Linked DNA regions of Rattus norvegicus. The protein of the gene in region 2 binds, or shares a complex with, the protein of the main gene of each other region. Links are inferred from orthologs where the notes say so. Each region holds a gene or a part of one and is shown on either strand. Other genes may lie near its edges.

The links. Proteins that work in one complex are often made in the same cells at the same time.
Region 1: Gtf2f1 (region 2) and Polr2d share a complex: the UniProt entries of both Homo sapiens proteins name them as parts of the TBP-based Pol II pre-initiation complex. The link is inferred for Rattus norvegicus from reciprocal best matches to the Homo sapiens genes GTF2F1 and POLR2D.

Annotation. Positions count from the first base shown.
Region 1 is NC_086036.1:23,691,141-23,695,377, forward strand, and holds the start of Polr2d (DNA-directed RNA polymerase II subunit RPB4), read left to right. Parts: upstream 1-1,437; 5' UTR 1,438-1,492; coding exon 1,493-1,565; intron 1,566-2,904; coding exon 2,905-3,085; intron 3,086-4,237. UniProt on the Homo sapiens protein: Core component of RNA polymerase II (Pol II), a DNA-dependent RNA polymerase which synthesizes mRNA precursors and many functional non-coding RNAs using the four ribonucleoside triphosphates as substrates.
Region 2 is NC_086027.1:1,930,533-1,933,865, reverse strand, and holds the end of Gtf2f1 (general transcription factor IIF subunit 1), read left to right. Parts: intron 1-1,412; coding exon 1,413-1,566; intron 1,567-1,654; coding exon 1,655-1,716; intron 1,717-1,798; coding exon 1,799-1,918; intron 1,919-2,040; coding exon 2,041-2,114; intron 2,115-2,185; coding exon 2,186-2,324; intron 2,325-2,430; coding exon 2,431-2,521; intron 2,522-2,605; coding exon 2,606-2,810; 3' UTR 2,811-2,833; downstream 2,834-3,333. UniProt on the Homo sapiens protein: TFIIF is a general transcription initiation factor that binds to RNA polymerase II and helps to recruit it to the initiation complex in collaboration with TFIIB. It promotes transcription elongation.

The DNA.
Region 1 (4,237 bases), on a different chromosome or scaffold from region 2:
ACATGCTGTTCAGGAAAGCACCGAGAAATGGTTAAAAAGCTGTCAATACTATATAACCATTTATTTTAACCAATGCATTCCTTCTACAAATATAGATACACAGCAGTTTTGTAAAACTCATTTTATTTACAAACCAAAAGACTACCTATTCTTGGACCAGTGAGATCATGCAGCAGATAAAGGCCCTGAGTTCAATCCCCAGAATCTATGCAAAACTGGAAACAGAGAACAAATTCCACAAAATTATCCTCTAATCTCTTCTGTGCACCTCTGTATATATAATAAAAATACATTTTCTTGTCTTGTAATAAATACTTCTATCAATTTTTAAAAAGATTTATTTTCTGTGTATGTGAAGGGTGTGTATGGTGTGTTTCACCTCCAAAAGAGAGACCAGAAAGGGTTTAGATCCCTTGTAGCTGAAGTCACAGGTGTTTGTGAGCCATCTGGTGTGGGTGCTGGGAAATGAACCCAGGCCCTCTGAAAGCATCAAGTGTTAACCACAGAGCCACCTCTCCAGCCCATTTTTTATTAAGTTACAGGGTTTACTAGTGTTCACTAATGACCCAAAAACTGGAGAAGTGTTTGTCCCCCTTATTGTATAGACTTTTGTTTCTCTTTAAATTGAAAATATCACTTTTTCATTTAGCTTTCTACTTATTCAAATGTCTCAACAGATATGATAAAGGGTTCTCAATATTAAACTTCACCTGCTCAGAATTGTTAAATACACAGGAACAATTTAACAGGATGGTATGTTACCTAAACTGGCATGGATTCTTGGGAATTTGCTAAGTAGCCACGCCTCTTTGTGAATTTTTTTTTTTTTTTTGAGACAAGATCTCACTATGTAGCCCTGGTTTTATATCACTTTGTAAACCAGGCTAGTCTCAAATTCAAAAGATCCACCTGCCTTTGCCTGCCTCGGGCATGCTAGGATTAAAGGCATGCGCCACTACAAACTGATCTCCTTCAACTCTTGATCCTCGCGCTCAGTGATTGATTCATTACCACCACACAGGGGTTAGTCTTTTTTTTTTTTTCTTAAGACACAATTCAATCATTGAAAGAGATTTCAGTATGTTTCTGTAGTCACCTACCCAGCTTTTCAACATAGGACATTCCTTGGATCAGCCACTTAGTTCAGTCCTGCACCTCACTTTCTTCTGAAATGGCTTACTTGACGCTCCCAGGTGCCACGGCAATAGTGTGTTGCCGAAAATAAACACTTTAATCTCCAAGCAGGCAGCACAGAACCACACCTCCAACGACCGGAAGCCGCTAGACTGCGCCCGGACCGCCCCTGTCGCGGGCAGTCTCGCGGGTTTCCCCTAGTGTGATAGCAGGGTGCCTGACCTACCGTCGTCCGCCCGCTTTCTCGGCCCCGCCCATTCACTTGGCCCCACCCCGGAGCCGGATTGGTTCTTTTCCTTAGAAGAGCCCGTCCGTGCGGCTTCCGTCTCCGGCAGTGTCTGTGGCAGTGCGCAGGGCGATGGCGGCAGGTGGAAGCGATCCTCGAGCTGGCGACGTAGAAGAAGATGCTTCCCAGCTCATCTTTCCCAAAGGTAGTATCCGGGACAGTTCGACTCTGAGGTGACATTGTCCTTGAGTTATAGTCGTTATCCGTTCCCTGCCCACAGGGAGCATTCGGGGCCGGCACGGGGGATTGATTGGTCAGCCCGGTACAAATGAACCCTTTCGTAGTTAATTCCCCTACACCCAGCAGTTTTGTTTTTGTGAGAGCGTCTAATTAGGTATCCTAGGCTAGCCTCCACCTTATCACATTCGTGCCCTTTCCTCTTGAGTGCTAGAATTAAAGGCATGCGCCATCGCTCTTGATTTTTAGGGGGAGTTAAGCTATGCCTTTTCCTGTCATGCAGAAGATCTGGAGCAGAGGTCTCATTTCAAAATTGGCAGCCAGTAAAAGCTGAGCTATGGTTCCTCTCACAGTGCTAGTCAAAGCGTTTCAAGATCTGTGGGTCAGAAGTGCTCTCTGCCCTGGCCTCTGAGGAGAGATGCTGTTGCCGTTGGTTTCTGAACCTTCGTTGTAGCTTTTCGAGTTAGGAAGAACGTTTGAGAGCAAGATGGGTTCCGGTTTGGGATGTCTGGTACTTCCTTTTGTCGGATGTGTGCCAGCCTCTGTGCATAGTGCTGTTCCTGCTACTAAACTAGTCTAAACTAGTCACCTTGCCCCAGGAAATCAATCCCCTGTCTCTTCCTACCAACTGTTAGATATAGGAACCCTCTGTACCTGTTTTGTGGGTTCTGAGGATCCTAACTCTGCTTCTTACACTGGAGTGGCAAGTACATTATCCACTTAATCATCTGCCCAGCCCCAGCAAGTGAGGTTATCTTCTGTCTTTTGTGTGTGTTTTTAATTGAGATGGAGAATCTTTGTTTTTAAATTTTTATATATAAGGATTATTTTGCCTGCGTGTAGGTCTGCATGCATGTGAGGTGTCCATAGAAGCCAGATGTACTAATTGGACTTAAAAGATGATTTCGAGCCATCTTGTTGGTGCTGTGTGTGGCAGAACCCTTATCCTCTAGAAGATTAGCCAATGCTCTTAAGTGCGGAGCTGTCGTCTCTCCAGCCCTTATGTCACTGTTGTAAAATTTATTTTTATTTTAATTATGTCTGTGCAGGTATCTGAGGAGGGGAGAGGTGCTATGAGGTGTCTGATGGGGTGCTGAGAATTGAACTTCCTTCGAAAGAGCAGTGCATGCTCATTTCTCTAGCCTTCTGGTTTCGTTTGTTTGGTGTTTTTGAGTCTCTCTGGCTATCTTACAGCTCATCAATAATAGACCAGGCTGGCCTCAAACACAGAGATCATCCTGCCTCTGCCTCCCAAATGCTGAGACTTTGAAAAGAGTATTTTCAGTTCACATTTATTCTTCTTCCAGAGTTCGAAACAGCTGAGACGCTCCTGAACTCTGAAGTTCACATGCTTCTGGAGCACCGAAAGCAGCAGAATGAGAGTGCGGAGGACGAACAGGAGCTTTCAGAGGTTTTCATGAAAACCCTGAACTATACAGCCCGTTTCAGCCGGTTCAAAAACAGAGAGACCATTGCCAGTGTTCGTAGGTGAGTACTGAACATAAGCCCAAAACTAAAATCTACTTATGTATGTGTTATGGGAGTTTGGCTGCTTGTATGTCTGTGCACCATGTGTGTAAACACCCACAGAGGCCAGAATAGGGCGTTAGCTCCCCAGGGCTGGAATTACGGACAGTCGTGAGTCACTGTGTAGGTGCTGGGACTCGAAACCCAAGTCCTCTGAAAGAGCAGCTGGTGCCCTCAGCTGCTGAACCGCATCTCCAGCCCTACAAAACGGTTTTATTATTATAGACTCTCGTGAAAGACAGAGGCTGTAGGATCCAGGAGTTCAAGGGCATCCTTAGGGGCATAGTAGGTTCAAAGCCAGCCTTGATTGCATGAGACGCTGTTTTAAAAATGCTAACAAAGCAGGGGCCGCTGAGATGGCTCAGTGGGTAAAACATGCTTCAGCCAAGAGGTGGTGGTGCACCCCTTTAACCCAGCACTCAGGAGGTAGAGGCAAGCATATCTCTGAGTTCGATGCCAGCCTGGTCTATAGAACAAACAAACAAATGCAACCAAAAGTGCTTTCTGGGTAAGTCTTAGGACCTGAGCTTATATAGAACCCCAGATGCACCCAGAAGCTCTGAGAATGAATGAGAAGTTGCCTTCTAAGTATGTATGCTTACGCACTTACACATACACACAAATGGCTAAATAAACAGACCACACACAAATACTTAGGGGAAAAACAAACAAACAAACAAAAAAACCCTAACTGGGTATGCCTTTAATCCCAGAATTTGAGAGACAGAGACAGGAGAATCTCTGTTTGACTCCAGCCTGGTCTACATAGCAAGTTCCAGGACTACATAGATAGAACCTGTTAAAAAAAAGTAATCAAGGGCTTGAAGCCCCCACCCCCACCCCCAAATTTTGCCTACCAGAAAAAAGGCTCTCAGACTTGACTCAGTCAAAATTTTCTCCACTGCATCACAAATTCTGGGGTTACTAGTATATGCCATCATGCACTCGCTGCCCTCCAGGTACGATTTCTTGTATTCATTTTTATTTTATTATTTTTTTTATTGGATATTTTATGTATTTACATTTCAAGTGTTATCCCCTTTCCAGTTTCCCCTCTGGAACTCCTCTATCCCATCTCTCCAACCCCTGCTTCTACGAGGGTGCTCCCCCACC
Region 2 (3,333 bases):
TGTCTACAAAAACAAAAATAAACAAAAGCTCCCCAAACCCCACACAACACAACACAAGTAGGGGTCACAGGGGTCACATATCAGATAACTTGCATATTAGATATTTACTTTTTTTTTTTTCTGGAGCTGGGGACCGAACCCAGGGCCTTGCGCTTGCTAGGCAAGCGCTCTACCACTGAGCTAAATCCCCAACCCCCTATATTAGATATTTACAATTCATAACAGTAGCAAAGTACAGTTACGAACAGCACTAAAAATAACGTTATGGTTGGGGTCACCACAACGTGAAGAACTGTGTTAAAGGGTCAGTGTTAGGAAGGCTGAGAACCGCTTGCCTAGGTTACCTCTCTCTCCTCTCTGTCCCTCCTTTGTCTGAGGTACAATTTATATTTATGTACTGTTTATACTGCAGTTCAGCAGCTTGTAAGAATCCTCAGAAAGCTGGCTAATGGTGGCACAGGCCTGTGTCCCTGGCACTTAAGAAGCTGATGCAGAGGGGCTGGGGATTTAGCTCAGTGGTAGAGCACTTACCTAGGAAGCGCAAGGCCCTGGGTTCGGTCCCCAGCTCCCAAAAAAAGAACCAAAAAAAAAAAAAAAAAAAAAAAAAGAAGAAGCTGATGCAGGAGGACAATTACTTAGGGCAAGCCTGGACTACAAACCAAGGCTTCATATCAGAAGTAATTACATGTGTGTTTTCTCATGTTCGTTTTCTCTATAGAGTTGAACATCCATCACCATGATGACTTTTGGAATAATTCAGATCTGTCTTAGTCAGGGTTACTATTGCCATGATAAGACACCATGACCAAAGCAAACATGGGGAGGAAAGGGTTTATTTGGCTTCCACTTCTGCAGCTTAATCCATCACTGAAGGAAGCCATGGACAGTGCTGCTGACTGGCTTGCTCTCATGGCTTGCTCAGCCTGCTTCTTAGAGAACCCAGGACCACCAGCCCAGGGATGGCCCCACCCACAGTGGCCCTGCCACATCAATCACTGACTAAGAGAATAGCTTACAGGCTGCCTACAGCTGAGGGTTTCTCAGCTGAGCCTCTCTCCTCCCAGATGACTCTGACTTGTGTGAGGCGATGTAAGACTAACCAGGCCAAGTCCTTGATTTCTTTCCCATTTCTCCTGGTGACTGTGAATCGGCTATTTGTCCCCACATAGCTACTTGCTCAGATACTTGATATAGAGGCTTTAGATGCTATGTGACCTGACGTCACACAGGAAATGTGACATCGGGTGTCGGGATTTCCTGGCTACATGGGGACTGCTGCTTATGGGTGTTGTCCCTGCCTAGAATCTCCCAGTGAGCAGGGGTGGGGATTAAGTGGAGCCCCTGCCCAGCAGTGAGCAAAGATCTGGGCTCATCCAATCTGAGCTCCTCCTATACTTTCCTTCCTTTCACAGGCAGCAGAGCCTCCAAGGCTAAGAAAAAGGCCCCAGTGACCAAGGCAGGCAGGAAGAAGAAAAAGAAGAAGGGCTCAGATGATGAGGCCTTTGAGGACAGTGATGACGGGGACTTTGAGGGCCAGGAGGTAGACTACATGTCTGACGGCTCCAGGTGAGGCAGGGGTGAGGCAGAGGTGAAGCAGGGGCGAGGCAGGCCTGTGGTCACCCAACTTCATACCTTGCCCTTCTCTGCCCTATAGCAGCTCACCGGATGAGGCAGAGGGCAAGCCCAAGGTGCCCCAGCAGGAGGATGGCCCCAAGGGTAGGTGCCCGCTGGGGGCCAGCCGGGGAGTGGGAGTGTGCTCAGCAGTGGGCGCTGCTCACACCTGTGGCCTGTGTCCCAGGTGTGGACGAACAGAGTGAGAGCAGTGAGGAGAGTGAGGAGGAGAAGCCCCCCGAGGAGGACAAGGAGGAGGAGGAAGAGAAGAAGGCCCCTACCCCACAAGAGAAGAAACGCAGGAAAGGTGGGTGAGGAGCACAAGGCTGCAGTGATGGCCAGTGCCCTCCTCTTCCTTTGAACCCGCCTGCACAGGTGATGGTGGGTGGACTCTGTAGGCTCACTGCTTTGGATGTTTGTCCTATGCAGACAGCAGTGATGACTCAGACAGCTCAGAAGAGAGCGACATTGACAGTGAGACCTCCTCTGCGCTCTTCATGGCGGTAAGTCAGAGCTGGGGACTTGAGTGGGATTGACAGTCCAAGCCTTCAGACTCACCCCCCAATCTCTGCAGAAGAAGAAGACACCCCCCAAGAGGGAGCGGAAGCCATCCGGGGGAAGTTCAAAGGGCACCAGCCGGCCAGGAACTCCCAGTGCAGAAGCGGCAAGCACCTCTTCTACCCTGCGGGCCGCGGCCAGCAAGCTGGAACAGGGTGAGTGCCAGAAAAGCCTGTCCACGAGAGCCAGAGCTGCCGGTTCTGCACATCTGCTGTCCCCGACCTGGGCCCCACCTGGGCCTGACATTATTCTCTCCTCCAGGGAAGCGGACAAGTGAGACTCCAGCAGCCAAGCGCCTTCGGATGGACACAGGTCCCCAGAGCCTGTCTGGGAAGTCCACGCCCAGCAGCGGGTATGTTCAGACAGGAGCGGGACCATAGGTAGGATCGGGCTAAAGGGACTCTTGTATGACCCAGCCTCCTTTCTTTCCCCTCAGTGATGTCCAGGTGACAGAGGATGCTGTGCGCCGCTACCTGACCCGGAAGCCCATGACCACGAAGGACCTGCTGAAGAAGTTCCAGACCAAGAAGACGGGGCTGAGCAGCGAGCAGACAGTGAATGTGCTGGCGCAGATTCTCAAGCGCCTCAACCCTGAGCGCAAGATGATTGGGGACAAGATGCACTTCTCCCTCAAAGAGTGATGCCAATAAAGAGAGCAGGCCCAGAGTGCGAGTCATCACTGCCACCCCTGCCCTCCCGGAGGAGCCCTGAGGCATTTGAGCCTCTATTATATATACAGCATTCTGCCTGCATGCCTGAAGAGGCACCAGATTACATTATCAATGATTATAAGCACTGTGTGGTTGCTGGGAGTTGAACTCAGAATCTCTGGAAGAACAGTCCGTGCTCTTTAACCTCTGAGCCATCTCTCTAGTGCAAGCCTCCATTCTTGCAGAGGACACGGCCTTCCTGCCCACTGAGCTCAGTCCATAACCAGGACTTGTCTCCTGTGCAATCTTCACGAGTTTAATTTCATTTTACCTTTGCACTGGCCACACTCACAGCTCCTCACTGGGGGATTCTAGGCAGGCAGGGGCTCCACTCCTGAGCCACTATGCCCTCGTCCCCATTGTAGATCCGGGTGCTGTGTGGGTTTATGGTGGCATGCATGCGTTTGGGAACGCTCAGCTTCTAACAGTCCTCCAGGAGGACAGGTTTGGGATT